Linked DNA regions of Oryzias latipes. The protein of the gene in region 2 binds, or shares a complex with, the protein of the main gene of each other region. Links are inferred from orthologs where the notes say so. Each region holds a gene or a part of one and is shown on either strand. Other genes may lie near its edges. The genes, in order: ap3b1, ap3d1, ap3s1, ADP-ribosylation factor 1 and AP-3 complex subunit mu-1.

Region 1 (6,677 bases), on a different chromosome or scaffold from region 2:
CTGTCTCACATGACTGGTCAGGGGGTCGGGGTCATAGTTGTTTTTTTCACTTTGATTTTTTTAAGCTAAGGGAAGAAAAAGCTCTCGTCTGTTAGCAGAAGACTGTTGAAGCTCATGTCAGAAATGCAGTTTCCTGCACTGAAAAGTCACAGCAGAAAACTCTACAATAAAAGCTCTTTTTGCCTCAATAATCTCTTTTTTTGTTTTTGTTATCAGGAATTTTAATTTCTTATTGTGGAGATTTGTTCTCTTGGATGTATGTTTGTATGTGTTATAACCTTTGTGTGGATGTTCTTGATGGGTTTTCATAGGAAAAAAAAGGCAAATAAAGATCAGAATTAAGTCTAGAAAGTCCATCAAATTTCTTCTCAGTTTGCTCATACTTTAAACGAAGATGGCCTACAATGAGATGACAAATATTGACAAAAATCTTTTTTCTTTCTTTCTGACATTTGTTGGGTGAAGTTTTGGCAAAGGGCGGTATTACGAGTCTCTAAAAGCCAATGTCTGCTTTTACTCCATTTTGGAATTGGGTTTTGTTTAAAGAAATTATTCTTAACAAGGAAAATGTTGAGGTTTTTTCAGTTTGTCTATGTTATGATTGTTTTTATAAAAATTAACAACAAATAAAGTTATCACAGATCAGATCAAGCAAAGGTCAGGAAAATGTTTTTAAAGTGTTTGGATGAGAAAGTTCAGTCACTTATTGGTTTTAATCATCTCATGTTTTCTTCTTTGCTTCTTTTTATGGTATCTTCTTATTTTGGGTAATACTGCCCTCCAATGAGCAGCTCTTGTAATTGTGCATCATTTGCTTCAATGGGCCTTTATAAAGCTTTTCTTAAACCTTTCAAAGTAAACTACATCTATATATATTATATATTCATAAATACAACATAAATTCCGGACTATAGAGCGCACCGGATTACAAGCCGCATCCTTTACGTTTTAAGCTAATTTATACACACATACAAGCCGCATGCGCCCACGTTTAAACATTTGTAGTGTCCGTTCTGCACGTCTCCAACAGTCTCAGAGAGGAAGAAGCAAACACAGATTCCATATTCTCCTTTCCAGCATTACAGCCTAATTATTTGACCACAAGCACAAACAGCCAAACAGCATGGAAGTCACTTCTGCTCACAGCCTCCTCAGTCATGGTGAGGAACTTTACACCCACGATTCCCCACTGCTTGGAGAGCAGGTTTTGGAGCGAAAAACTCAGAAAATACGTGAACGAATCAAAATGTCGCTTTGGGGTTGTTTTTTGTGAGCATTTAACATTATAATACACTGAAATACTCAAAAAGTAGATTTTTCAGGATATAGACCCTTTAAAGACTTGCTCTGATGAAAATGATATTTTCAGCGTTTTTTTTCACATATTTTTGTGGCAAATATCTGATGATAGAGGACACATACAAAGAAAATTAAAATGAAATGAGAAATTTCTATATTTAAATCTATGTGAATCAGTAGAAGACAAAAAAAATGCTGTAAAAAGATTCTAAGTGTGACGTAGAAGTTAGTGCAGCGAGCTCTCTGCTCCATTCCGATGCATCCACTTGTAGCTGCGTAGATCCGTGCACTTCTTCGTTTTCCTCGTCTGAGCCGGAATCTGGACAGCTGGATGGCCCCGATATTGCACGCCATTTTTGTTGCAGCGCTTATGTTAGGATGGGTGTGTGAGGGGTTGTGAGCTATTGGTAGAGCGTTTAAACCAGTAGTCCCGTGATGAGCTCTGCTGCCCTGCAGAAACTACGTCCCAGTGACACAAGTGTTTGTTGATTTTGTCTAAATGCGGCATAATCATTCTCATGAAAACCACTGAGAATGCTTTGAAAATAGATCAAAGGATGATCCGAGTTGGACTTTAATTGATTTTCGAGGGTTTTTATAGTTTATCGACAAACTCACACCGATGCATAAGCTGCAATAATCTTATTTTTTCCACTCGTTACACAGTTGTTCTTTCTTTGAGTCAGATTGTTAGAAGAATGTGTCTGAATTCCCTCTTTCACATCAAGAATGTGACGAATTGCACAGTGAGTAGACTGTAGGGTCACGAGAACTGGACGGCATTAAAAACTGGATAAACTTTCCCCCAGAAGACACGTCTCCTCACAGAGCGGGAAGGAGAAACCTGTGCCGTGGAAATCGACCTGTGAGTCAGTGAGGGTTGGTGTGGGGGTCAAACAAACCCTCCAGAGGAAGTGGAAGGAGGCAGGTTTTTCTGCTCCTGTTTCCTTACATTATTCCCACTACCTTTTATCTCCTGATGGAGGCCTGTCCTGCCCGCCTCTTCAGCCAAACCAGGCTTGGTATGCGCTTAGTGATTGCGCAGAGGTGGTGATGAAAAGTGGCTCCATGTTTACCCACCGGAGGAGATAAGGGCCTCCTTTTTCCCCTGGAGGGAAGTGACCACAGTCACATGTCCAGGCAGGGAGGGAGGAAGGGAGGGACGCAGGTAAGGAAGCCGGATCTCCAGAGCAGGAGGAACATCTGAATGAGCGTAGTCCAGCTGAGAGAAGGAGGTGTTGCCCTCGGGGATCAGGATGACTTGCTGTTTGTGAGTTGACAGGGTATCTTGTGACTTTTTTTTTTTTTTTTTTTTGGCAGAAGAGGAAGGGAGGAAGTGAATGACACAAATCACAGTGCAGCCTGTGCAGTTTTTGTCCTTAGTTCCCAGTTTTGAGCAGCTGTGATTGATTCGAGAAAGCGCTGGGGGAAGACGAGCTGAGCTTTCCATCCGTGGACTTCCAGCCAGCTCTTGCAGGAGAGTCGCTGCGGGGACGGCGGCTGGTATGGACCGCGGCTTCCCTTCTTTACGGTCTGAGGCGGCTGGAGCCGTCAGGACAATGCTGGCTTCTGCCGAGAGCTTACAGCTCACTCTGAAGCCTGAGCTCAGTCAGGAAGAGCAGGCCCTCACACACACCAACGGCAAACCAAAGGAGACGCACAAAGCCGGGTATTGCAGTATTTTCCTGAATGTACGAGTACTAACATCTATGCAAGCTTCTCTGCCAGAATCGTTTTCTGATAAATGAACCACGATATTGATGATTCTGGTGTGTTACTGTTTCCCTGGTGCCTTTTGGCTTAGACAGAACTGCCCTTGGGGTGGAAATGGGCTGAGAGTGAGCGAAAAATGATGCCACACAGGTGAAATGTCAAGGTCGTAGACCGATCGGTAAGGCTGTAGAGCAAAAATGTTCGTGTGCATTTTGTTTCTAAGGGGTGTGCTGCGGTAACGGGTCATAGAGAACATTTATATACCCCATAAGAGCTGCTATGGGGGAAATCGGCCGTTTGTTTGACCCCCACCAAACTTGTGCGCTGCACAAGTCGCCTGTTAGTGCTGTTCACGCAATAAGTGCGCGCTCTTTGTCCGCCTCCTCCAGTTTTGCCCATTTTTGGCTCGCAGACGGTCTCAGTCTAACCATAAGGGCAGCTGTGACTAAAACTTTTTAAATCACACCTGTATATGAAGCCACTTATTCTGCATCTTCGCCATGGCTGCTGTTTAGGACTCTACAGAGTCAATTCCATGGATGGGCAACCTGCGGCCCGTTATACTATTTAATTTATTAAATTATGCTGATAATCCTTATTAATGTTTTATTTTCCCTGCAATTCCCCATAGATGGTGGAGTACAAATATATTTACCTTTTGTTTTATCTGCAGGAAGTTGTGCTGCATCATGTAGTGTTGGCAGATTTGTTGTATTTCTGACGTTCACGTGTGTTTTTTGAGTCCGAAATGTAAATTCCAATGCCACACGAACGCAGCATTTCTCTAAGTTTGCATTTTTCTTTGAGGGACATCAACCCATTGGTGCATTTGAGACTAAAATGTGAACAAAAGCCACAAATTGTGTCTGTGTGTGTGTGGGGGGGGGCTATTAGCTATGTTTTTTAACATAGCTAATAATTTTCAATCAAAATTATTAGCTATGTTTTTTAACATAGCTAATAATTTTCAATCAAAATTACACCATGTTTTTGTCCAGATTCAATGTTTTTTTGTTTGGACACCCCTTGGAAAACTTTTTTCTAAAGACAGCCAGATTCGGGATACTTTGGGATACTTTGAGATACTTTTTATTTCCCCACATAGAACAGAAATGTCTTTAAATACATTTTTACCAAAATTACTTTCATATTTGAAAACAGGAAATAGAATAAAGAGAGAGTCTGGTTATTAAAGCCTTTTGTCAACATTAAATCTGGGTTCATATGAAGTGGTAAGCATTAGTCACTATTAAGTGCTCAATGTTCTGAATTTAAATCACGTAAAAAGCTAAATAACACAAATAGTTAACTTATTCAGAAGCACAAACCACTGCTTTCGATCATAGAATCAAATGAATCAGTTTGGCCCTTAAGGCTCTGAATGTCAAGTCGCCCCAGGTTTACAATAGTGTGGAGCGTAATTTAGCCAGAAGAAAGTGCCGGAGGGGCCCGCATATTATAGATCTTATGACAGGAGACTGTGGGCCGGTAGAAATTTGAACGAGGGCCGCATTTGGCCCCCGGGCCGGACTTTGGACATGCCCGTCAGGTGGATTACCTAAAAGCGCCACGCATCTGCTCCTGTCAAATTTTAGAACCCTTTAGTCAAAAAGTTCCCCCACCCCTGGTGGGCCTCGGAGAAACGAGGGGGTTGGAACACGGCCACTAAGGCCACCGTACACCTGGAGATGTGATGGTCACCTGTCATTTGAATGAAAAACTGTGATAACATAACTGAGAAATGTTATGCCTCAAACAAATATAGGTCTGGATGAAGTTGTCTGTGTCATAAAAATGTCATTCCGTGCTCTTGAGCAAAGCCATAAGCTGCTGTTGAAGGCATTCAGTGTCTCCTGAAGAACGAGCGCGATGTAATGCCTTAACAGAGGAGATGGTGAAGCTGTTGGGCAGGAACTCCCCGTTGCAGTCATTGTTCATTGTACCGTCCAGAGAACGGTCAAAACTGATGAGAATGTTGTCCAACCGGTTAAAACCAGAAGTGTTTGTCTGTCCTCAGGAATGAAGACCTGAAAGAGATGCTGGAGAGCAACAAGGAGTCCCTCAAACTGGAGGCCATGAAGAGGGTTGTTGGGGTGAGTGCATCATGGGAGGAAACTGATGGAACAAATGCACTGGAGCCCTGGAATGTCCTGGAATGCATGGAGACAACATTTTTTCTACATTAGAAGTCCCTGAACTCTTAATCCCTAAAACAGTTTGTGATTTGTCTTCTAAACATTTCATTAAACACTGCAAAAACTGATTTTCAACAGCAACACAATCTTTAAGAAAATATGTCTTAGATTTTTTTTCCTTAGAATGCGAATTTTCAGTGATTTTTCTTAACCCCCCCCCCTTTTAAAAAAAAAAGAATGTTTCACTTATTTCTAGGGGGCCTGTTTTCGCAGTGCATTATTTCTAACAGCTCCTTTAGGATTTGTGTTATAAAACCAGATTAAATCTGAAATTGCCAATATCTGCTCTGTCTTTTTGTTTTAAAATTTCATTTTAGCTCATCTCTAAAGGGAAAAATGCATCCGAGTTGTTTCCAGCTGTTGTGAAGAACGTTGCGAGTAAGAACATCGAGGTAAGAGAAATACTTCCTTACTGTGACACAACATGCGGTGAATGACTATGTGTGGGATTTCCTCTTCTATGGTTGACTGTAGGGACTGATGTCATTCAGAGGCTTTTGTTGGTTCAGTTTGTGTGTATTTGACAAATCGATTTTAGCGATTAATTTGAATTTGTTGATCTAGAAGATAAATTTTTGAGAAAAACAAGACTTTATTTCCCCAGCATTCTGGTTTCTTGTGCTTCCGTTGTTCGGAGTCAGGTTAGCCTGCACGCTTCTCGCAAGGGCCAGACATGAAAAAAGCATCTAGGAAAGAGGAGCTACTTCCACCAGGCTGAGAGGAAAAAATAAAAATAAAAAGCTTTTTCCTTTTATTGACTGTATTAAGAGAACTGGACTGAGTGATCCCTCCTCACTGGCCTTCCAAACAGGAAGTACCTCCTTCTCATAGACTTCTATAGAGAAATAACATCTTCTTTTAATCCTCATTTATTTTCACAATATTTTTTCTTTATCAACAGTTATTCAAGTTATAAACTGACCAATCAGATGCCTCAATTAAAGTAGGTGGAGCTCCCTGGATGTGGTGTGGATTTTGAACAAGCCCACTCCTGGTTGACAACAGTAGTTGCCGTAGAAACGTTGACTCAGACCGACTCTGACCAATCTCTGTTGTCTGGCTCTAACATGGCGGCCTCCATAGCGTGGAAAGAGGTGCGACCGAATTGGCTTCCATTCGCTGAAGCTGGAAGTTAGGCATTTTTCTATGGGTGATGTCGCGCTCGCTCAGTCCAGTTTTAATATACAGACAATGTTACACTTCTGTACACTTGTCCGTGCAGCGTTTGGCCGATGAAGCGGCGAGACGTGACGATTATAACGGTCCAGACAGAACTGGAGGATAAACCTGCTGCACTTAAAGCAGGAGGGGCCTCTAAAGTAGCTATTTGTTCAAGTACTGCAAGTTATACTGTCATCACAATAGTGATCACTAATATTGCAAATCGCGAGTTTTCTCACATTGTGCAGCCCTAAGATCCAATTTTTTAAATTATTGATCAGCATCAGCAGAACTTTTTAGCTGTTTATA
Region 2 (5,910 bases):
CGCCATCTCTCAGGCTTAAAATAGCAAAGATGTTTACTGCAAGATATTTGGAAAGAAAACTCCTGACTTTACCAAAAAGCATTTTACAGATATTCTTCCCACTTCCATCCATTTGTTTTTCTTCTTTAGAGAAATGTAAGGTAGTATACTTCAGGTGTCGATCCCTTAGAAAGTTGAGTCCGTTTCTTCTTTTTGTTAGCAGCTAAAGCAGAATGCTGCCCTCACATCAACTGGATCTCTTTCCAAAGTCAACGATTTGTGCTCAGGATTTCTGAAATTTGCATGTTTTCCAGTTACAGTCTGATCATTTCTATTTACTAAAAGACGGAAAACTGGTTTGGATCTTGCTCGCCCTCTAACCCGTGGATAAACTGCCCATTAGTGACCAGACGCTCACCAGGCAGTCGGCTAGTGTTCACAGGTTCAGTGAGATTCCTGCTTCAGTTGAAGTTACTAAATCGAGACCCGTACAAAACTGGGTTTGCATTAAACGGGCAGAAAAATGTCTAACAGAAGCTCAAAAAACAGGATTACAAGTCAAACTAAGCTTGAAACTACAAGTCTCTAATCTGCTCTACCAACACCAGACGTCTGCAGTCTACTCCACACACATCTACCATGGAGGTCCAGATAACTCGAATGACTGAAAACAGAAAAGTCTTTGGGACTTTTAGAGCCAGACCTGACATTGGATTAAGACATTTGGGAAGCTGCTGAAACGTCAAATTAAAATGAAAGGTCTTCCTTTTCTCCAGCATACTGCTGTGGGATGTTTGCAGATGCTCTGTAAGTATGATGGCTTTCCAGCAGGTCTCCTGATTACGTGAAGAAAAGAGGTAATGTTCGAGTTATCCGGGGTCAGGGGATCTAATTCCATGTCGTCTAAAGGGGTGGACTGTTCCATAGACAGAAACACGCAGACAATGAGAAAATGACACACTGCAGGCATTGACAGAGGGCTCACAGTTCTGGTCCGAGTCTTCGATAAGGATTCGCAGCTTCTGCACACAGAGCTGTGGGAGGAAAGCAGAGCAGAAGACAAAACCAGAGGCATTAACATCCCCGTCAACCTTTCCACACCAGCGGCTCTTCTGTTCGACAAAACCGGCTGAACCAAATAGTGAAAAGTTCTCTGTGGTGTTTAGATGTTTAAAGGAGCGTCATCGGCAGAAAGTGACTGGAGTGGAAGGGTTATGATCTGATGATGGCCGAGAACGTGGGGAACCTACCTGGATACTAGCACTGTGGTTGGGCATCCCGGAGGACAAAGAAATCAACACTGCAACACAAAAAGCGTCACAGTTTCAACAAGAAATCATGTTTTAGGACAGAAAAAAAAAGAGGCTTCAAGCGTAAATAGCCTAAAAAATATATCTATTTTTGACTAAATAAATGTTTATGAAAACTTTGATTAAAAAAGCAAGTAAACAAATAACATTTTTAACAATAAAACATAAAAATCTGACTGGATGATTTACTAAATGGTTCTCAGTACTGACCTGCAATAACGGTGTTAACACATTCATACAGCAAAGACATGGCGGAGGTACTGGAAGGAGGCAAAAGGGACAGGAGGGTTAATTATTACACCTCTTTCTATACATTTTGCTGGATTGCTTTGATGCTTTGAGCTCACCTGTGGATCAGGTTGGTCAGAGGTTCGATGAGCTTCTTCCCCAGCCGAGGCTCCAGCGGAGTGAGCGCGCCAAACTGCAATGATTATAGTGATCAATTACCTTCATTCTGCTATCATTCTAAGGCTTTGAAGCAACAGAAATGTTCTGCTGTGCTAAAAAATTATACTAATTAATGCAGATTTCCCACTCCACTCTGATGACCCTGACTTTCTTCAAGAAGCTGAGTGCAGGTAACAAAAAAACAGGTTCAACTTGAACATTTTTGAAGACCCACTCCCATATAAATTGTGTTTTTTTTACATGTTCTTGTCGCCTTTTTCTGATGATCGAGGACATATACAATGGGGAAAAATATTCAGTCAGCCACCAATTGTGTAAGTTTCCCATTTAAAAAGATGACAGAGCCCTGTCATTTTAATCATAGGTAACCCTCAACTTTGGGAGACAAAACGAGAAAAGAAAATCCAGAAAATCACATTGTCTGATTTGTAAAGAATTTATTTGTAAATTATTGTGGAAAATAAGTATTTTTTCCATCAAACAAGCAAGATTTCTGTCTCTCACAGACCTGTAACTTCTTCTGTAGAGGATCCTCTGTCCTCCACTGGTTACCTGTATTAATGACTCCTGTTTGAGCTGGTTATCTATAGAAAGACACCTGTCCATATCCTCACACAGTCACACTCCACTATGACCAAGACCAAAGAGCTGTCTAAGGACACCAGAAACCAAATTGTTGACCTGCACCAGGCTGGGAAAACTGAATCTTCAACAGGTGAGCAGCTTGGTGTGAAGAAATCACCTGTGGGAGCAATTTTTATTAAATGGAAGACATACGAGACCACTGAGAATCTCCCTCCATCTCTCTGCAAGTTCTCACCCCGTGGGGTCAAAATGATCACAAGAACGGTGAGCAAAGATCCCAGAACCCCACGGGGGACCTAGTGAATGACCTGCAGAGAGCTGGGACCAACGTAACAAACATCACTACACCACCAGGGACTCAAACCCTGCAGGGCCAGACGTGTCTCCCTGCTAAAGCCAGTACACAGGGCTCGACATAGCCATTTGTCCGCTGGCCCGGTCCTGTTTTTCGAGCAGTACGGACCACAAGACTTTATTTTTTACTTGTCCGCTCGGGCCACTAAAATATCTAACAATTAATACATTTTTCACCTTTTACAATAAAGTATATTTTGCGAAAACGTGTAGATTTACCTCGTCTTTATAATTCACTTTTTCTGCTAGTCCTGTGTTCAGACTTCAAGGGTTTCTATGGGAAACCTTTTATCACTCTTCTCCTCCTCTCCCCCTGGGCGCGCGGCTGTCACTGCTGAGCACCACGCGGCACGCGCTCACTCAATTTTTTTTTCAAACTTTATTGAATGTAACAATTCAATACTAAACAATGTTAAACAGCAACAACGAAGGAACAAGCCAGTGGGTTATATTACATTTTAGGCAGATATATTTAAACTGACACACATATCAGCGCGCCCCCTGGTGGTTTTTCACCGCAATGATCATAAATCCAACACCGTCACTGAAGAGAGACGGAAGACATGGCAGGAATAGATAGGAATATGTTAGATGGAGTGACGGGTGGAATTAGTGCTATGGACAGCAAGATATTTAATGAATGCATTGAAGATGAAACTGTATGCACTAAGCTTGAAGCTGAATGTCAAAGAATCAAAGGCAACTAAAAATACCTGAATCTCAGACTCAAATGGAGTATAAGGTCAAACTACTTAATTTTGTTTTTCTTTACAACACTGTAAGTATTTCTAGTTAGCTGAATGATCTCAGTAATTTAATTGTATTTAATTTTTCAATTATTTAATTTAATTAGGTAACTAAAGTAACTAAAAAGTAAATGTAACTTTGCAACAGTAACAAAAAGCAGAACCTTAAGGCAGTCAGGGCAAAAAAGTCAATAAAACTTCTTAACTATTGATTAGGAACAAATGTGAAATAGCAGTGATTAGAAGCAGCATGAAAACTTCTTAACTAGTGTTAACTACTACACTGCAGTGCTCTCTTCAAAACATCTGAAACAGACTAGAGCAGATTTAAGTTTGATATGCTCTATTTTTAGTCATTGAAAAGTGTATAAATAAGTGCTAGATGTCACCAGAATGCACCAAATTGCACCATATTAAAATTTTCCGGGGGGGCATGCCCCCAGACCCCCCTAAAGTTGCAAGCACCTGCGGAGCGGCGGGTCTCGCTGTGCGCGGTGTCGGGCCAGTAACTTTCAAAAACTACTGGCCCTGTGGGCCAGTGCAAATTTCTGGGCTATGTCAACCCCTGGTACATGTGCAGAACCGTCTACAGTCTGCTAGAGAGCATTTGGATGATCCAGAAGAGGATTGGGAGAATGTCCTATGGTCAGATGAAACCACAATAGAACTTATTGGTAAGAACTCTACTGTTTGGAGGAGAAAGAATGCTGAGTTGCATCCAAAGAACACCATACCTACTATAAAGCATGGGGGTGGAAACATCATGCTTTGGGCTGTTTTTCAGCAAAGAGACAAGGACGACTGATCCGTGTAAAGGGAAGAATGAATGAAGCCATGTATGGTCAGATTTTGAGTGAAAACCTCCTTCCATCAGTATTGAAGATGAACCATGGCTAAGTCTTTCAGCATGACAACAATCCCAAACACACGTTGCCCGGGTAACCAAGGAGTGGCTTCATAAGAAGCATTTCAAGGTCCTGGAGTGGCCTAGCCAGTCTCCAGATCTCAACCCCACTGGAGTTAAAAGTCCGTGTTGCCCAGCAACAGCCGCAAAACATCACTGCTGTAGAGGAGATCTGCATGGAGGAATGGACCAAAATACCAGCCACCGTTTGTGAAGACGTCCAAATCGCTTGACTGCTGTTATTGTCAACAAAGGGTTATAACAAAGTAGTGAGTTGAACTTTTTTTATTGACCAAATTAATTTTTCAACGATAATATTCAAACAAATTCTTTAAAAAAAAATAAAATAAATAAAAATCAGACAATGTGATTTTCCCCCTGATTTAGTCTCTCATAGTTGAGGTCTACCTATGATAAAACTTACAGGCCTCTCTCATCTTTTTTAAGTGGGAGAACTTGCACAATTGGTGGCTGAATAAATACTTTTGGCCCCACTGAATAAAGAAAATTAATCTTAAAACTGCATTTATATATTCATAGAGAGTATTTCTATATTCAAATTGTTGTGAATCAGACGAAAATTGCTCCTCGCCAACATTCCCACCCACAAGTCGGGTGACTTTCTAAAAGAACTTCAGCCGCTCTGCAGGAACTATGTCACTATGTCCTAGAAAACGACACAAGTTTTCTATTTTGCCTAAAAGGAAACACTTTCACAGAAGATCAACATATGATCAGAGTGGGACTTTAAAGAAAACTTTAGGCTGATATTACTTGAAATCTCTAAGTCTTTGGACAACATAAACGTTCTGTTGAACTAAAAAAGGATGCAAATTCCTGCAGACTTTCCCTGCCTGTGTGTCTAAATGCTTAATTTCTGATAACCCAGAGTTCTTTGTGAAGCTAACGGCAGCTAACAGAAAACTTTTGACCAGTTTTCAGCTTATAAAGGCAGATTTCCCCATGAGGAAAACTTACCAGCTTGATGATCTTAATGAGAACCCAGTTATTAGTAGAAGACGTCATGAGTTTGAAGAAAAGAGGGGCCAGTGAAAGGTAGTTCTTGGGATTTCTACGGGCCAGCTCACAGATGACATTAACAGCAGCTGACTGGACCCCTAATAGAAAATAATAGGAAATTGACAAGAAAACAGAGCAAATGAATGTTTGTAATCATACTAATACTGCACAGTCTCTTCTCACAGACTAAATAATTCATGACCCCCCCCCCCCCCCCAGCAAAGCATCGACTACAGAAGTGAGAACAGTTCAGTTTCAAGTCGATGTCAAGCACCTTGAAATAGACCAATCGCACTTTTATTTCAAGGAAAGGTTTCAGGTTTATATTTAGAAGATAAATTATTACCACCCAAAATGAAAATCTTTATGCCTTGCACTAATTTTAATGTGTTTGGGGGGGATTAGATGGAGGCAGCGGTGCTGATCCCTTCAGGAAAAAGGCTCAACAAAAAGCAAAAGATGAAGAAAATCATTTTTTTGGGCCGTTTGGTAAAGAAAGTGATTCTTCTTTCCTTTCAACCAACCTCAAATGTGTTTGGTGAGCCCCTATCCTGCTTTTCTTAAGCCTTTCAGAGTAAATCATATCCATATATATGATCATTTA
Region 3 (5,910 bases), on a different chromosome or scaffold from region 2:
TGTTTGGCACAATCAAATGCCTGAGTATTATCCTGTATTTTTGGATTTTAGAGAGAACCTGTAATATTTTTGGGTCTGTTGTGAAAGATTCCTTCTTCTTGTTAGTGGCATCCGTCTAGAATTGCATGGGGTGGGGGTGGGGGGCATGAGGAGAGACTCAAAGGGAAGCTAAGTTAGAGTTAGGGTGTTTGGTTGTAAATTTAGCAGTACCTGTGTCTACCTGTCCTGCCTGGTAGACTGAAAGATAAACGTCTGTAAAGAGAGAGAAGAATGGAAAGAACTGGACAGGGTCAGGAAAAAAGAGGAATGAGGAATGTTAAAGCAGGTTAAAGTAATAACAGTTTTATCTCCACAGAAAGTGATAGGACCCATCATATGCCACATCTGCAAACGTATTGCTGATACTTTCGCTCAATGCTGAAGTTTCTTTTGGTTCAAACACATTGCTACGAAAGATTCAGGTAAATATTAGATATGACGTCTGCCACTAAATTGGATTTTTTTGGTTATTGATGAGACTTGACAGACACTGTTCTATGAAAAGTGCCTGGTTCTGAGCGTTCTGTGGCCTACGATAGGTCCAGAAGGGAAGAGACAGAGCAGCTACGATGATACAAGAACAGTAAAAAAAAACTCTCCTTACACAATTTCTGTTCAACAAGAAGCTTTTGTCGGGTTAAAACAAACAGTGCAGCTCAGATTTTACAACTCTACAGTTAGCACACACAGCTGAACAGCCTCTAAAAAATCTAATAATACAAACATTGACTTTAAGCTTAGAAAAAACAGTGTTTTTTGGACTATAAGTCACACTTTTAGGAGGAATTTATTTAACAAAATACGGAAACAAAATCGGACATTTCATCTTGAAAGGCAAATCATAATAATGGAAGAGATAACAAATAATAGAATGAATATGTGCACGCTTCACTACCATAACCGTATTTAGCTCCATAAAACATAGGAGGAGTTGAATAAGTTTCTAGTATATTATCGCAGTAAATGAACAATTAATAAGATAACCGCAGCATGACAACAAGTCAGCTAAACCCTTTATATCACTTTAAATCCCTAAATCCTTTAAAGTCTTCATCTGTCAAGCTCGGAGTAAGACTGAGCGGCGTTTCTTCTGTGTTACGGTCAGTAGTAAATACTGACACACTTGCCTACAGTTCCCTCTAGCGGTTGATTTATAAAAAATCAAATGTAACTATTCTCCGAAAAATACGGTACACATTTTGTAAAGGGTCGTTTCTCAACAGGAAATAAAGTATTTGCAAAATGAATGTGCAGACATTACACAACGTGCTTGGACATATTTTTGACTCAGTTTATCGATCAGAGGCTCTAATCCACACTGAGCGTAGAAAAAGAAAACCATCATTTAGTGAAATTGTCTCTGGCTGTCTGTCTTTCCAATAGAGAAATGAAAGCGGATTTCTGACCGAAGCTGCATGGAAAACAAACAAATGTACTTGCAGAGCACAGATATCTGAGCGAAGACTTTGAAAATATCGGCTCAAGAAAAGAAAATCTAAATCTCCAAACTTTCCCCTCAACGTGATGAGTATGTAGCTGAATGTCATTCAATGGTAAGGAGGATTTAATGGTCACTGATTCTGGAGGTGAATTGATCTGTTTTTGTATATTTGGGTTAGAGTATAGGATCTACTGAGGTTTGAGCTGCGTTGAGAGCATAGAAGCAGTCAAAGAAGAGGCCAGAAAAGAGCACAAACACTTGAGAGAAGGTGGGGAGCATCCACAGAGTGACCAAGAGTAGCATGCAGAGTGCAGCGTACACACATGCCTGCATACTGTGCAACATTCCTCAGGGAGGCCGAGGAAAGAACAAAGTGACAGATAACCTCATACCTCAGCTTTCTCCATCTTGTTCTGGGCGTCCACCTGTGTGATGATTTCGTTCATGTTGGTCTCTAAGACCATTCCACCCATCACCATTTCAGCAAGAATATTGTGGACCTGCAGAAATAAACCCAAATTACAAATCATCAATCATTTAAAGTTTCTACAAGACTTCCCTGAGTTTCAGCTCGTTTCAAACAACACATTTTTTTTCAAACTTCCTTAATAAAATGAAAACAGGCTAAACTTCATTTTGGTTTAAAGGTTTCTCTATTTGTGGAGGCTCTAAAGCAGGTATGGTATTTATGGTTGACTCAAAAGTTCCTGCAGTTGCGAAACAGAAAGTCATCAGATAATAACAGGCAATAATAACTACGGGAAATTATTACAAAGAAAAAGGGTCAAAGGGATTGGTAGGCTGAAACAAACAGTCTAATAAACGTGTTACATCACAGAGAGGTGAAAGATTTTCCTACCTTGTCTACATGGAAAATTAAGTCAAGTTCACAGACGTTTTCAAAGCATTTGTCCAACGTTTCTACAAATACCTGACAAACAAAGGGAACAGTTAGAGAGAAGATAACTAAAGAGTATACATTCTTCTGAAAGTCCGATTTATTTTACCTGGATTAAGTCTAAAATGCCTAATTCGCTCTCTGAAGAGTCGACACAAAACACAAAGTACAGCGTGGCATAGTGTCTATAGATCAGCTTGTAGTCCGAACCCCCGATCAGCCTGGAACACAGAAAGAACACGATGACAGCGAAGGGAAAATATCTAGCAAACATTCTTGACGGCACATTTCCTGAAACTCTCTTCAGGTTTTATCACCATCTCTTGGAAAAGAGCATAAAATAGGTAATATTCTTTAAAACAAGCAGAAAAAAAAAACACTCTTATCAAAAGCCCAACCTAGTATAATAAGGTACCGTAAACATGTTACGACAGAATTTTGAGGGAGCAAAAAAAAACAGGATGTTTTCAGTCAGGCGTATAAAGATTGCCCACAATATATCCGAATAGCTGGAGATAAGACGGGAAGAGATAAAGCTTGTAACTGGGTTGGACAAGAGCTCCTCAACTGTTTTCTTCTCTCACAAAAAGACTTGTAACTTTTGAGAACTCACTAAAGAGAAAATCCAGTGTTTTTTGGAGTATTTGTTTGCTAAACCTATGTTTTTTTATTTATTATTAAGTGTTTATATAATTTGTCTGAAGTTTTTCATTTTATTATAAAGAGAGAGCAAGAAAAGAAAAAAGCTTTTAAGCCAACAAAGCAAAGCGTTGCAACTCAGATTCTTGTAGACCCACTCTGATCATCTTTTAATCTGTTGTTAAAGCGTTCCCAGTGAGAGTGGTCTTTTCATTATGATTATGCCGTTTTCTAGGACATAGTTTCAGCAGAGCGGCAGGAGTTCACCCCAACCTAACATGATCGGTGCAACAACAAAGGGAGAGAAGTATTGGAGATGTCCAGTTCTGAGCCAGATAACAGCTCAGACGAGGAAAACAAAGATGTACATGGATCTATTCATCTACAAGAGGATGCATCAGAATGAAGTGGAGCAGTCGTATTTTCTACATCACAACTACAGTGTTCCTCCGCCAATTCGGGTTTCAATATTCGCTGTTTCACGTGTTCGCAGATTCCTTTTTTTTTTTTTTTAATCACGTGACTCCTCTGGTTCGTCACAAAAGCTCAGACAACTCAAGATGCTTGTATGAGACTTGTGCTGCGGGAATTTCTAAGGAGGGGAGCGGGGAGATGAAGAGCCAGCTGGCCAGTCGGCCTCCCCCCGGCTGCGGAAGAATATTTCCCAGCGAGCAACAGCTGGTTCCAGAATCGCTATAACCAAAGTTTGTGCCCCAATGGCATCAGCTGACTCAAAAGCAGCTTGAAAATATCCTAATACGCTGAGGAAGTATAATTATCATCTGGATGAATGAATGATGGATGAAACCAACCTCTTCTGGAAGAAGATGCCCTTTGGCACTTAAGGAAGTACGGGCTCCTGCTTTCTAGGCATAGAGAAACAGACTGGCACTCCTAATGTGCATTATAAAGTACGCTACAGTACAGTCTATTACTCTGAATGACTAAAAAAACCATGTTGAGCAACGTTCTTTAATAAATGTTTCACAGAGTATCAGAAATGTTTCAGAAGGGTTTTTGATGAGTTAAGATTGCAGCATATTGGCGGAAGTCTCTGGTCCCTAACCTCCACGAATACGCGGAGAAAACTGTTCAATCTTTTTCAAACAGCATCTTTTTCATCTGCTCCCGATTCACAGCAATTTGAATTAACAAATACTCAAAGATACAATTTTACGCCCAATGATCTTAATATATGTCCATCATTAGAAAAATGCTACAATAACATTTAAAACACCATAAAAAAATCCTCAGAGTGGGTCTTTAACTTTTTTTTTAAAACAGCATTTTGAAGATTATGTTCCTTTGCTCCTTTTTCATTTCCACATCCTGGCATCGCAGAACTTACATTCCTCCTTCTAAGAAATTGCAGACGTTTTCATCTCTTTTTGAGACCAAGTGGAAGGTTTCCCTTATGATCTGCTGCTCCGTGTCTTCATTCTGCAAGATAAAATGGATAAATAGGCAACATAAACAACAAAATAGACAATAAATAAATCTTGTTCATGTATAAAACCTTGTTCATTTGCATAAAGCCAGACCGAGCTGGAAAAAGAACATGTCACTCGAGTTTTTTCTGCAACTTGTTTAAATCACCAGTTATCATCCAGTCAGACAGAAAGCAGGAATTATGACAAGCTGACACAATGAATAAAGGAGCTAAAGGCATTTCTGTTTGACCTTCTGAAAAGGTTTATAACATTATAAAAATGGAGATAAAAGCACAAAATAAACTTACAGGGAATATATTGCTAAAGTGATATTTATTTCGAAAACTCAACAGTGAGGCCGTCGGCTGCTAATGTCCTCTCAAAGCCTTTATGAGCTATTATTTTCTCCTTTGGCTCACCACTGGAGAAAGAGCTGTGCTCGCTGCAGATGCCTGCAAGTCTAAAGACACCATGTGACACTTGGCATGAGACCTGCAGCTTTAGCCGTCCTCACAGTTTCATGACACCAGCCAGCGCAGCAGTGAGGCTGCTGCAGCAGCACACACATGAACCCTGAACTACTTTTGTTGGTTTTGCTAGTCTTTAATTGAGTCGGAGTCAGGTGATCTATGATAAACAGCTGGTTTTCTGCAATCTATAACTGAAACACACGTCAGCTTATTTAATTTGTTTTTAGTTTTTTTCTGGCTGAACAATTTGTTAAAACTGTGAACAAATGCTTTAAACACTAATGCCTCTCATAGGTTGGCAGTTATAGCTTCTCGGACGGGAATTAAGAGTCATTCAATATCAGGTTTACATGCAACTAATTCATTATTCATGGCCTTTCCTTCATTCCTGTGAGTAAAAAGGAGACACTACCATTCAGCTTAATATGGTAGTGTTTTATAAAGTTTGTTTCCATGGTAATACACTGCTAAGAAATAGAAAAAGATGCATTCTTAGCATGTTGCCTTGTAAACTCATTTGAACACAACAGCAACAATGTATTAGAAGCCTAGCAAAATGTAATTTAGACCTTTATGGGTGGAAACATTGTGTTTGGACGAGATAATGGAAAGATAATGCTTTCAACTTTACTGTTTTAATTAGTTTTGCTCTGCCCATCTAGAAACTATTCCCTTTATGGTTTAGTTTAATGGCTGATGCAACCAAACTGATTGTACCAGAATGCATTTACAGTTCGATCACAACATGTGAGCATTTTCTATGGTCTGTGCCTGCACAGCGACTTCAGCAAACCAAACAACAAATGTTGAACAGCTCATTGTAGTGACCATGTGAAATATTATATCCCAGCAGCCACTAAGCCAACACCTCAGCCTGGAATATGGCAGATGGCGATTGTGCAGCTCGCGTGTAATCCGATCAATTTGCAATGATCCTTCTGAAATACAAGCAAATGTAGGTCTGTCTGTATTAAGCAAATCAAATAACTTATC
Region 4 (4,704 bases), on a different chromosome or scaffold from region 2:
TGCCCCCCTCCACCCGCTGACTCCTCGGCCCGCCACCGTCTTCCCCGCCACGGCGCATGCAGCGCTGCAGCGAGGAGTCGCGGACCCGTCTGCGCCTCCCGTCTGGATTCTTCACAGTTTTAGAGCCTTCATATTTGGTGCCAGTCCTTCATCCCACAAACATTTACGGTTGGATAGCAAAGGCAAAAAAAAACCTAGCAAACAGTGAGGAAGAGGAGGAGAAACCCGCTGAAGAGCCAGCTCAGGCGCTAGAAGGTTCTGGAGCCGTGTGCTGCATTAGTGGGACTGCTTCAGCGGTCTGAGAAACGCCAACACCAGGTAGAGAAAGCAGGTAAACCAGCGGGATCCAATCGGAACGCCGTCACAATAAGACATCACACTTAAGGGCTTCTCAAAAATGTCGTTTAATCCAGGGAATCAGAGGCCAACTACCAAAAGACCAGATCTGCAACCGTGGACTCGGACTTGCTGCCTTGCTTTGTGCTTGACGGTCTCGGTGGTGGGAGAAAGGTAGTGTTCACCGGAGAGCCACAGCCAGAATAATATGATATATTCCAATATAATAATAAAACAAAGAGCATGATTTTCAAATGGCACCGGGATGGCGGTGGGCGGGGCTTTTGCTAGACTTTTACAGTTGTGTGACTTGACCTGATACAGGTTAAGATGCCGTTCTCTGGATCTCTTTCAATCGAACGGCTTCAAAGGAACATCTGACATTTGGTCGACAACGGGGGACGATTTCTAGTTAACTGGGGGGGGGGCTTCATTTGCCATGTGAAAACCATGCTTCCTCTTGAGAGCGGGGGGGGGGGGGGGGGGGCGTGCAAGACTGAGTGGGGCGGAGGCGGAGCTTGGTGGATGGAGAGAGGGCTTGAAAACCAGACTGCTGATTCCACAGGAGGTGTGTAAAAGGCACGCCAGGGTTACTCCCAGTCCCAGCCAACGCACACAGGCGCCTTCACACCCACACACTCTGAACACACAAGGTCACACACACACACACACACACGCACACACAAGCAGCACAGGCTACAGCCCCTAGAGTACTGACAGAAGAAGGTAGCAGGGCGAGGGAATGAAGGAAGTTCTTAAAGGAAAGCACGAGGGCGGGAAACCGGGTGGGACAGGGGGGCAGAGGGGCCTGGGTCCGTGCTGCCGTCGTGTTGAAACAGGAAAAGGAAAGAAAAAGAGAACAAAAATCAAAAGTGGTGGAATGGATCATTTCTGGTTCTTCAGCTGGTTGGAGAGCCAGTCTAGGCCCTCGTACAGGCCGTCGCCGCTGGTGGCGCAGGTGGCCTGGATGTACCAGCTGCGCTGACGGAGGGCGTGCAAGCCCAGCTTGTCTGTGATCTCTGCAGCATTCATGGCGTTGGGGAGATCCTATGAAGACAGGACAACGTCAGCAATGGTGGAGCAAATGCTCCGCTCAAGAACACATCTGGACCTGGTTCTGGCCAACACCTGCTGGCCCAGATTCCCCCCTTTATGGGTTTACTGCAGTGAACGTTATGTCCCACATTAAATAGAGTTTTTTCACTAAATTGCTTGACTGTTGCTCTAAGGTCCTGATCAGAGATGGCCTTCGTTCAAATTAGGCCTGCACAATATACCGCAAATTTATCGTTATCGCAATATCCAGCTCTGCAATAGGCATATCGCAAAAGACTGCGAATATCGCAATAAATCGTAAACCCAAAATGTGTTAAAGCAATCTTATGGCAGCTTGACGCTTTTAACGAATCAAATAAATCCCTTTATGCTTTGACCAATCAGATGGACGCCTTCCCATTGTTGACCAATCAGATGGAGGCCTATTATGTTAGATGTTTGTCACCTATGTCGATGAGGGTCATTTGGAGTGTAATTTTAAACTGTTTCTAATGAAATGGGAATGATGTTTTTGGCATTTTTCTATTTTTTTTATATACCGCAAATTATATCGTTATCGCAATATTAATCTCTACTATTGCATATCGCAAGTTTTCCTCATATCGTGCAGCCCTAGTTCAAACAAACAGGTTTCATCGCTCCTCAAAACAATGATCCTGAAAACATGGAGATGCGGCTACCGCCTGTTCTTCACGCCACAGAAGACGCCGCAGACGTCCGGCCTCACCTGTTTGTTTGCGAACACGAGCAGCACGGCGTCCCTTAGTTCATCCTCCGCCAGCATTCTCGACAGCTCCTCCCTGGCCTCGTTCACCCTCTCCCGGTCGTTGCTGTCCACCACAAAAATGAGCCCTGCGAAGAAAGCGGCAGAGACCACCGGCTCAGAAAGACACAGCCAGACAGAGGAATCGAACCTGCATTACAAAACCTTTATGCTGGGCTTTGAAAGAGGAGGTTGCCTCTTTGTAACGATGCTATTTCTACAGACGAACACATAAAATGTTGGAGGACTTCTGAAATCTTTGACTGGATCCAATAGAAACTCTTGAACTGGAGTCTTTGGGTTTAACACACGCGTTTGCTTCAACCTTTGTCATTTGGACGTCATGCGCCACTGTGACCACAAGGCGGCGGTGAAACAGACTTTCGAGTGTCGTGATAAAACACGTGAATGTCACGCGGCTGAGATACAGTCAGACAGCTGTGACACTTCAAAGTTACAGTCGGGAATCTTTGACATTCTGTCAAAAGCTTTGCTTCTAAAAAATATTTCAGGATGTTTAACGTCCAGTTTAACTCGTTGCTAGGTTACCGGGTATTACTAGTTAACCGTGGACCACTTTGGCTATAAAAATGGCAGCATCACTTTTGCCGGGTAATTTTTTACCCGATATAATATACAAACAAACAAAAAGTACTTGTCATAAAAAAAATAGATCAAAATGATCAGCACATGATAAATTAGAGTGGGTTTATTTTATTTCCCACTGTGGTAAGTGTAGCAAAAGGAAAAGTCTTCATCAGGAGTGAAGGACTAAAAATGGAAGACAAAACATTTGGCAGCACAACAGCAGGTTGAAGTGTAGAAAAGAGCCTTGAGAGGAAAAGCTCTGTGAACAGCGAGCCGTGGGAGTCCAAACGTCTACCTGGACGCAGCTTTCAAGCCGATCAGAAGTCAACTAGAATCAGTTCCATCAAACTGGAACTGGTTAGCTGCTAAAAAGACAGTTCCTGAATCAAACTTTCTTTATTTGCCCGTTTTCTGTGACTAAACAACAGTAACTTTGACAACACACACATTTTTTAGTGCTGTTCACTGTTGAACTGCTTAATTCTGACCCTACAGGTGATTTTAAAGATACTGGTGCATTCTTCCCTTGTGAGCGTGTTTCTCTTGGTCTGATTGCCGCTCGGCACAAACCCTGTGCTGGTGTCCGATGTTTCGTTCAGTCACTCCAGCTGACCCGAGACTTAACGGATCTTTTTTCCACAAATATCTGAACATATTATTATTGCACTACTTTGATCTTTTATGTATTTTATTGCATTAGTAATTTTATGAATTGTGTTCTTAATTTGCCTAGTTTTAAACTTTCTTCAGTCCTTTATCGTACAGCACTTTTGTAAATTGCTACGTAAATAATAAATGTCATTCATTTATATAAATGTAGTTCTATTTTAAATAAATCAACAAAGCTTATCAGACATGCAAGTATGTATTTTTTTTCCAGGAGAGTCTGGATGAACGGTTACAGACTCCACACATACTGAGCCAGGAGGGTTTAACTCCATGGGAAACCCAGAACCTGTGAGGATTGCTGAGTTTTCCAGAGCCTCTCTGGATGCTCACTGCAGTTGACAAGAATTAGTCCCATATATGCTAGACCTGCGATATTTTCAACAGCTAAGCACATACACAGTCCACACACACAACACATAAACGAAGCCTTGATTGGCTGAGATCCTTTTCCAGGTGACCACTGTTATCATATTTCATGTATTCTTCTGTTTTCAAATGACTTACGTTAACTCAGATAGTCTAATCCCAGGATCTAAGCGTGACGATTTGGGCCTAAAACAACAACACTGATTTGTTGCCATGGTGAAAATAGACTACTTTTAAGGTGATGTCGTTCCCAAAAGCTTAAAAACGTTTGTTTTTATATTAAAATTGACAAAATAAAAAAGAAAAGCCCTGACAGAGAAATATAGAGAGGAAAACCAGACGTGGAGGTTTGTCTCTGAAACCTAACTGTTACACCAACTGTTGATTTTCTAGGCAGGAAAAACTCAAATAGCCCTAATAGTTGCTGACGACTTTAATGTCAGGAAAAAGGAGGAGTCAAACAATAAACCCTTAGAAGAATTGAACAAAAGTATGAGTCATCGGTCCAGCAGCGTTCAGATCATCTTCAGCGCAGAAGTTAGGCCCCCTATAGGCAGTAATGCGCTCCAACAGTCGGCCCTTACCTTGAGTGTTCTGGAAGTAGTGGCGCCACAGCGGCCTGATTTTGTCCTGACCGCCCACATCCCACACCGTGAAGCTGATGTTCTTGTATTCTACCGTTTCAACGTTAAAACCTGCACAAATGAGGACAGGCTTAGTGGCAGACACGGATCTGAAAGGCTCCCCAGGTTACATTAAACAGGTCATAAATTATCATTTTAATTGGATTTCAAGTTTACCACAGAGTATCTCCATTGTTAAAAGCATTAATTGTCAATATCTTTGTTCATTACAAATTCATAAACTAAATCATTCTAAATGTCATTTTTTTCAATCTTTTAAAAATGTTCTCAGATGATAAGGCT
Region 5 (6,606 bases), on a different chromosome or scaffold from region 2:
CTGTACATCAATACAGACTATAGAGTTTCTCCTTTTATTTTTGGATGCTGGTGTGCCGCGGGATTTTTATCAAGGTTAAAGTGTGCCGTGGCTCAAAAAAGTAACATTGCTTTAGACAGCATTACTGTCAAGAATACGGGGTTAAGCATTTAAAAAGTGAAATCCCATTTAAATGTATGTCATCTACATCATTTACTAAGAAAAAATACTTTGGAAGGGTGGCAGACGAGAACAGACGAATATTAGGCCAATACAATAAAATGATTAAAAACATTTTTTTCAAACAGTTTTAATAGTGTAATTAATTAAAACAAAAGTTCTTTTAGTTGAGGTGCCATTAATGATGCTTAGTGATTTCTTGATCTTAATGAAAGTTATGCTAATATTCATTCAAAAATTGAAGGGGGTGGGGGGCTTTTTGCTGGGGAGGTCGAAGCCCCCTCAAGTTCCGGCCCTGGCACGTAATTAACCCAGTTTGCGTGGGATTGCGCAAGCTGCCGCAAGACAGCAAGGTCTTGCCATTTAAGCTGCAATAGCACTAAAATACACACAATACAGCGATTTTAAGTGTAGAGAGAGAGAATCATACATTGAATTTCATTTATATCACAGTAGACTCGTTTTTGTTTTATTATTAGTGTGTTGCCAGGTGAAGAAGATGACCCTGCCCACCTTGCGCCCCATGACCGCTCATCCCTCTTATTCAGATAAGGAGTCGGCGCTTTCAAAACCTTACCGACAGCGTTGCAAAAGTGTTATCAAAACGTCTCCCAAAGAAAATAGTAGCGCCGTTATCTGCTACCGCTGCTGAATCCGCGGGTTAAATGTTAACATGCACGGAATCTACGCTGATCATTTCAGACTGCGACCTTCAGAAAGCCACTTAATAGTTTTAACTCACAGAAACTGTATCAAGCTGCATTTATTAATTGCATATTATGGTAAAACTTAAAATAAAATTGCCTTGTGGGTGCAATCAAGAACTACTAGGGGTCATGCTCCCACAGAAGTAGAATTGTTTTCTCGATCACCTGCTGTCACCTTAGTTCGGAGAGAGTCTCTTTGGTCGGAGAGTCTGCCTTCTTCTCCTTCTCTTCAACATCTGCAAGTTTAATCTTTTTAGCTTTGGGTTCATCGGACGCCATGGTGGTGCAAACACGTTGCTTCGTCTTCTTCTTCTTTGTTTATTCACGGTTGGCTCACAAATTTTAGGCGCATGTTCGCCACCTAGTGGTACGGACTGTGAATGTCGAGGGTCTAATCATATTTGTAGTATAAATCCATCTGTTTTAAGATATATTTCCTTTTTCCTTCCCCATAATTTCTCCATCTCAAAGTTTTCTAATAACCCTTTTTTACCTAAAACAACAACAACAACAACAACAACAGTAAATGTATAACTACAATCACTACTCCATATGCCATTTGTCTCCCATTTTATTTTCATCCTCAATAGTTGTACGCCCTTGTATTTGTTCAGTGTACTTCCTGCAATTTCATAATAAACGTTTCTATAGTCTGATACTCGTTGCACATTTTATAGTTAGATATTTTCCAATGATTGAATGATTGTAACTCAGTTGCATGTGGCCAAACCTGCATTCAAGTCTTTGACCCTTGCATCTAATTTTCACCATAACCCTTCCTCCTGCCTCCTCCTCCTAACTTTGATACCTTTTTTTTTCTTCAAAAATGTAAAAACAACATAAATAAAAGTAGCTATTTAATCTATAAAGCTGAGACAGATGATAGGTTTTAACTGCTGTTCTGTAGGTACTGGGTGTATATAATGTCTGATTTGAGCAATTAATTCAAAGGAATTTTGAGGTTTAAAGCCAAATGTAGTTTAATGAATGTAATATTTTGTTAATAAAATCAGGAAATGTAACCAATAAAATTGTGAAGTAACTTTTCATAATCAGTAAAACCATACAGGATCTGTTTTTCCATGTCAGGAAGAAATCGAGAAAAAATTGAGTCATTATATCATACTGACAATTACTTCCAAACTAATTTTTTGTGATCATAGGTCGAAATTAAATATATGAATGTTTCTTCACATTGTTTACAAAATCTACCCCCCCCCCATATTAATCCTTTTGTCTTTGCAATTATCTTTCGAAAATGCAGTCGTATCAAGGAAGTTTGTTGTTTTCCCTGGGTAGTGACTTGTAGGTAAGTTGTTGCTGCCATAGACAGTATGGTTCCTGCCCAACTCAGTTTAACGAGGAGCTGTAGTAGTTATAGGTGCTACTTTTTCTAATCATATACATACAATAAAATGGTGAATAAAACTTCGGAAACTTCCAAATACTGTCATTAATTGTGTTATACCATGGGGAAATGCGTACGTTTCACAACAGTACACGTTAAAATGCCATCAAAATACAAAAAATCATATTGAGTTTTCCAAATAGTTTTTCTTTAAAAATTTGTAATATTCTAACAAAACCTTTCCACACAATAATGCTGACATACAACAATGGATTAGCTATTTTAAAGAACACCGAAAACTGAATGGTCTGATGCGCGGCTTAGATCGTTGTCAAAGGTTGCCTGCAAAACTATACACCGGTTTTTTTAACCCACTGACTGACAACAATGAGAGCAAAACAGCTGTCCTCTGATTTTGCCTGATTAAAAATAAACCCACTAACTTTAAATAAAAAAATGGAGGGGAAGAATATTACACTTTATTAGATTATCGTGAATGCCACTTCAATAGCGTAAATATACCCGTTTTTCAACTATTAGTCTAGTAGCACAATTCAGTTCTTTCTGCTTACGTGTGCACATAGCTGTAGGCGTCCCCTGAGATGCCTATGAGATATACTTCCATATTGGCACCAACTGAGTATTCTTCCCTGTAGTTGAATCGAGTTTTTTCTTTTTTTAAAGCAAGTGATCTACAGCTAAAACTTTGTAAAAGCTGTAAAAATATTTCGCACTTTACATGTTGGTCTTCCTCTGACAGGATTAACGATAAGTTGGTAAGTATGATTCATATTTTTCTTTCTGTTATCTCACTCAGCACAATAAACTTTTAACTTTTCAGATAATATTTCAAAAGTCTTTTCATTTTTTTTATTTTTTACAAACTGTTTAGTTTAAGTTATTTGAATCATGTGACCGACATTGTGTAGTTATCGTGTGCCATCTGGTCTAAGAGAACCAACTCAAACAACAACGTTTCCTTCTGCAGCTGAGATGATCGACAGTCTGTTCCTGATTAACCACTCAGGAGACATTTTCCTGGAGAAACACTGGAAGAGTGTTATCAGCCGGAGTGTTTGTGATTACTTTTTCGAAGCTAAGGAAAAAGCAGTAGACCCAGAAAATGTGGCCCCTGTCCTGCAGACCCCACACCACTATCTCATCAGTATATACAGGGACAAGATCTTCTTCCTGTCTGCCATCCAGACTGAAGTGCCTCCACTTTTTGTCATCGAGTTCCTGCACAGAGTTGGAGATACATTCTTGGTAGTATTGATTTCTTACCTGAATGTCTTCTTTGTGATAAGTGTGTGCCAGATCTTAAGTGCTTCTAGTCAAGCTCTAGGAATAAGTTTCCTTCTTGCTGCACTTTCATGTAAGTATATAATATATATTAAAGATATAACTAAAAAGTCCTTTATAAGACATTCTTTGAGGCATTAGTTTGGCCAAATATAAGAATTTCAGCAGCAACCTTAACCTTGACTGCAGTTAGTATTTTGTGCTGACTTAAACCAGGGATCGTCTTTGGAATTATCATTTAAACCAATAAAAAAGTATTTTTATTTCAGACTCGAAGTGTAAATGTCAACACCATTAAAAAGAAACACAAGACATACAAAATAATTAAAATACAAGTGAATACACCAATTATAAACCTAATAAAGTGGCCAAACCAGTACCTCCAAATTGGGGACTGGTAATGCAAAGTGCTGTGCCTGATGTTGGTTAGGGTTAAAATGATTTTATTCTTGGAAGCGTTAAAGACGTTGTATAAAACCATAAATAAGATTACTTAAAAGAGCTTGGAGAGTGTTGACTCATATATCATACGTCTTTTTAATAAAATCCCATTATATACCCCATGCAGGCTAAATGGCTATGGAAGGATTTGTTAATACACGATAAAGATATTTTACTTTGTGACTTATGTTTTATTTTGTCTAAACTAAACTGTGTTTATGACGGAAATTGTCATGGGGCACTGTAAGAAATGTTGCTGAATGGGTTTCATGTTAAAAAAAGGAAGAATTGTCAGATTTCAGTTAATAGTAAATGTACCATGTGTACATGCAGGTATGGTGACAAAGCAGAAAAGGAAAAACACAAAAAATATCTTTGAAAATATTAAATTGATAGTTTTGTGTGCTTTAATGCAAATTAAAGGGATTTTATTAAATCTGCGATCCAAAGTAATATCAAAAGGCTCTTCAAGTGCTTAGAAGTACAGCACTCTCAATTGTGCTACACTCTTTCTAATAGAACACAGAACTTACGTTATTGCCCATATTGGTCTGCTGACGCTGCTCAAAGGGACAGCCACTGTTGTCCTTTCAGTAACATTTTTTTTTTTTTTTTGCAGGATTACTTTGGAGAATGTTCAGAAACTGTAATCAAGGATAATGTAGTGATTGTTTACGAGCTATTGGAGGAGATGCTCGACAACGGATTTCCGCTCGCCACCGAGTCCAATGTCCTCAAGGAGATGATAAAGCCTCCCAACATTCTGCGGTCAGTCGTCAATACACTAACAGGTAAACAAACGTCACAAGGAACATTGTGAACTTCTGGCTCTTTAAGTCACACTGAAGGGCAGCGTTAACATTACATTTCATTTGTTTTTTCCAGGAGGTAGCAATGTTGGAAACACTTTGCCAACAGGTCAGCTGTCTAATGTTCCATGGAGAAGGGCTGGTGTCAAGTACACAAACAATGAGGCATATTTTGATGTGATCGAAGAAATTGATGCAATTCTCGATAAATCAGGTACTTGAAAAGAAGAGAAGAATAAAGCAGTTGGTGGGAAATGCAGTTAAATGCACAGTAATACCGGTGACTTTGTTTACTGAACAGGGACAACAGTATTTGCAGAGATCCAGGGGGTCATTGAAGCTTGTGTGAGGCTTACCGGGATGCCGGATCTCACTTTGTCCTTCATGGTGGGCTCATTTCCCCCCATATCTGTATTTAGATCATCTGTGCACTTTTGTTCAAGTCTAAATTTTGCTCATTATTGATGTATTATTGACAGAATCCTCGTCTCCTGGATGATGTGAGCTTTCATCCCTGCGTGAGGTTCAAACGCTGGGAGTCGGAACGGGTTTTGTCTTTCATCCCTCCAGATGGAAACTTCACTCTCATGTCATATCAAGTCAGCTCTCAGAAGTAAGTGATTCATGGGGAGAGCAATGGGGTGACTAGGGCTGGCTATGGATTATGAGGAGGACTGCATATATGAAGATGTCATCCTATCCTCAGGTTATAAAAATTCAGAGCTGGATAAAAGTTTTCAACCACAAAGAAAATTACTTTCAATATACAGTTTAGCCTCTTAAAGCATAGTTTAAATTGGAGGTTGTTGCAATTAAATTTTGGCATAACTCTGTTCCTTTGTCATTTCTATGATTTTTCATAAACTTTATTTATAGTCAATTAAGGGTTTCATGTTGCAGAAAAACAACATTTTCTGTAAAAAATAAAATACAAATGCATGAACTTCAGTTTCAGAAGTATGATTTATAAATACTTTTGCTGTACTGTAAACTATGGAACCATGGTTGACTCATGTTTCAAAATAAAAGTCAGTACCGGAAATTCTTTTTCATTTTCTCAATAAAGCAGCGTCTGTTGACTCCATGATAAAATGAATAATCAATACGCCAAACAGCTTTTTTCATTTTCTATCTAAACACCGCTTATTCTGTGACGTAGTTAAAGCGATAATAAAAAGGGGGGAGTGCATTTTCATTTTTTCAATGATCAAATTAGATGTTTCTAATTGAAATTTGGATACCCATTTACTGGGGAACATTTTGAAATTGAAATGTGTTGAAGAAGAAAAACAAAGAGCCATTTGGCGGATTGATTGATTTTTCATTTTATTTTTGAGTCCTCGTACCCAGCTTTATTGTGAAAATGAAAAAGCATTTCCGGTAAAGACTTTCATTTTGAAATATGAGACACATGCTGCCATATAATAAATGGTTTATTTTACTCTCCTTTTTCATCTTAGCAGAGAATAATACTATAGTTCTATTGAGGGAATTTACCTAGACTGCCTTCGTGGCTGTTTTTCTCCTCAGTCTTGTTGCCATCCCGGTGTATGTAAAGCAGAACATCAGTTTCTTGGAGGCTGGATCTTGTGGTCGTCTGGATATCACCATCGGGCCCAAGCAGACCATGGGGAAAACGGTGGAGGGCTTGATGGTCACAGTCCACATGCCTAAAGCTGTGCTCACTGTTAACCTCACAGCCACACAGGGGACCCACACTTACGATCTTGCCACTAAGGTAGAAGACCTTTGTGTGCCACAAATGTCATGACGCAGTTTCAACAGTTTGTAATCTATGTCAGCCTTAAAAAAGTTGCAAATTAAAAATACAACTATTATT

Evidence for each region.
Region 1: the proteins of ap3d1 (region 2) and ap3b1 are in contact, whole or in part, in a cryo-EM structure (PDB 9C5C), measured with the Homo sapiens proteins. The link is inferred for Oryzias latipes from reciprocal best matches to the Homo sapiens genes AP3D1 and AP3B1. Residues at the interface, in NP_003929.4 of Homo sapiens: Lys352, Leu442, Ile446, Ser471, Tyr483, Trp487, Glu491, His517, Ala520, Val521, Gln524, Asn525, Lys528, Val561, Gln562, Ser563, Ala564, Leu566, Glu567, Gln569, Glu570, Arg571, Ser573, Cys574, Gln577, Leu578, His581, Ile582, Leu585, Lys588; in NP_003655.3 of Homo sapiens: Asn75, Lys466, Lys467, Gln470, Val494, Ala497, Ser498, Trp501, Leu531, Leu534, Gln535, Asn538, Lys542, Asn567, Tyr568, Asp569, Asp572, Arg573, Arg575, Phe576, Ile577, Gln579, Leu580, Lys586, Gly588, Ala589, Leu590, Ser591, Tyr593, Lys596.
Region 3: the proteins of ap3d1 (region 2) and ap3s1 are in contact, whole or in part, in a cryo-EM structure (PDB 9C5C), measured with the Homo sapiens proteins. The link is inferred for Oryzias latipes from reciprocal best matches to the Homo sapiens genes AP3D1 and AP3S1. Residues at the interface, in NP_003929.4 of Homo sapiens: Leu18, Gln19, Val22, Arg26, Cys60, Thr63, Tyr64, Gln66, Met67, Leu68, Gly69, Tyr70, Asp71, Ile72, Ser73, Lys87, Phe88, Thr89, Arg92, Ile93, Leu96, Gln100, His103, Tyr126, Leu132, Thr133, Ser136, Tyr161, Lys164, Lys165; in NP_001275.1 of Homo sapiens: Met1, Lys13, Pro14, Arg15, Leu16, Ser17, Lys18, Phe19, Pro22, Tyr23, Glu25, Asp26, Gln28, Gln29, Arg42, Asp43, Glu44, Asn45, Val46, Cys47, Asn48, Phe49, Ser80, Glu81, Ser82, Glu83, Leu84, Gly85, Leu87, Asp88.
Region 4: the proteins of ap3d1 (region 2) and ADP-ribosylation factor 1 are in contact, whole or in part, in a cryo-EM structure (PDB 9C5B), measured with the Homo sapiens proteins. The link is inferred for Oryzias latipes from reciprocal best matches to the Homo sapiens genes AP3D1 and ARF1. Residues at the interface, in NP_003929.4 of Homo sapiens: Lys48, Asp50, Phe77, Ile80, Glu81, Ser84, Asp107, Met110, Leu111, Thr112, Thr113, Asn114, Gln115, Arg117, Lys118; in NP_001019397.1 of Homo sapiens: Tyr35, Ile46, Pro47, Thr48, Ile49, Gly50, Phe51, Asn52, Val53, Glu54, Trp66, Lys73, Ile74, Leu77, His80, Tyr81, Gln83, Asn84.
Region 5: the proteins of ap3d1 (region 2) and AP-3 complex subunit mu-1 are in contact, whole or in part, in a cryo-EM structure (PDB 9C5C), measured with the Homo sapiens proteins. The link is inferred for Oryzias latipes from reciprocal best matches to the Homo sapiens genes AP3D1 and AP3M1. Residues at the interface, in NP_003929.4 of Homo sapiens: Lys29, Glu388, Gly389, Thr390, Thr391, Arg393, Glu429, Arg432; in NP_001307192.1 of Homo sapiens: Ser25, Ser27, Asp30, Tyr31, Glu34, Pro52, Asp104.

What each region holds. Positions count from the first base shown.
Region 1 is NC_019870.2:3,663,533-3,670,209, reverse strand, and holds the start of ap3b1 (AP-3 complex subunit beta-1), read left to right. Parts: upstream 1-2,477; 5' UTR 2,478-2,804; coding exon 2,805-2,968; intron 2,969-5,029; coding exon 5,030-5,105; intron 5,106-5,524; coding exon 5,525-5,599; intron 5,600-6,677. UniProt on the Homo sapiens protein: Subunit of non-clathrin- and clathrin-associated adaptor protein complex 3 (AP-3) that plays a role in protein sorting in the late-Golgi/trans-Golgi network (TGN) and/or endosomes.
Region 2 is NC_019862.2:30,493,348-30,499,257, forward strand, and holds part of ap3d1 (AP-3 complex subunit delta-1), read right to left. Parts: intron 5,405-5,910; coding exon 5,265-5,404; intron 1,711-5,264; coding exon 1,637-1,710; intron 1,550-1,636; coding exon 1,500-1,549; intron 1,280-1,499; coding exon 1,230-1,279; intron 1,014-1,229; coding exon 965-1,013; intron 1-964. UniProt on the Homo sapiens protein: Part of the AP-3 complex, an adaptor-related complex which is not clathrin-associated. The complex is associated with the Golgi region as well as more peripheral structures.
Region 3 is NC_019867.2:7,076,190-7,082,099, reverse strand, and holds part of ap3s1 (AP-3 complex subunit sigma-1), read right to left. Parts: intron 4,458-5,910; coding exon 4,366-4,457; intron 2,600-4,365; coding exon 2,488-2,599; intron 2,412-2,487; coding exon 2,340-2,411; intron 1,981-2,339; coding exon 1,873-1,980; intron 253-1,872; coding exon of another isoform or gene 217-252; exon of another isoform or gene 211-216; intron 1-210. UniProt on the Homo sapiens protein: Part of the AP-3 complex, an adaptor-related complex which is not clathrin-associated. The complex is associated with the Golgi region as well as more peripheral structures.
Region 4 is NC_019877.2:22,743,978-22,748,681, forward strand, and holds part of ADP-ribosylation factor 1, read right to left. Parts: intron 4,474-4,704; coding exon 4,363-4,473; intron 2,245-4,362; coding exon 2,120-2,244; intron 1,384-2,119; coding exon 1,222-1,383; 3' UTR 1-1,221. UniProt on the Homo sapiens protein: Small GTPase involved in protein trafficking between different compartments. Modulates vesicle budding and uncoating within the Golgi complex. In its GTP-bound form, triggers the recruitment of coatomer proteins to the Golgi membrane.
Region 5 is NC_019873.2:23,928,015-23,934,620, reverse strand, and holds the start of AP-3 complex subunit mu-1, read left to right. Parts: upstream 1-2,799; 5' UTR 2,800-2,990; intron 2,991-3,202; 5' UTR 3,203-3,207; coding exon 3,208-3,480; intron 3,481-4,576; coding exon 4,577-4,748; intron 4,749-4,842; coding exon 4,843-4,980; intron 4,981-5,067; coding exon 5,068-5,153; intron 5,154-5,245; coding exon 5,246-5,379; intron 5,380-6,296; coding exon 6,297-6,504; intron 6,505-6,606. Other genes in the region: adenosine kinase, read right to left, coding at 1,042-1,145. UniProt on the Homo sapiens protein: Part of the AP-3 complex, an adaptor-related complex which is not clathrin-associated. The complex is associated with the Golgi region as well as more peripheral structures.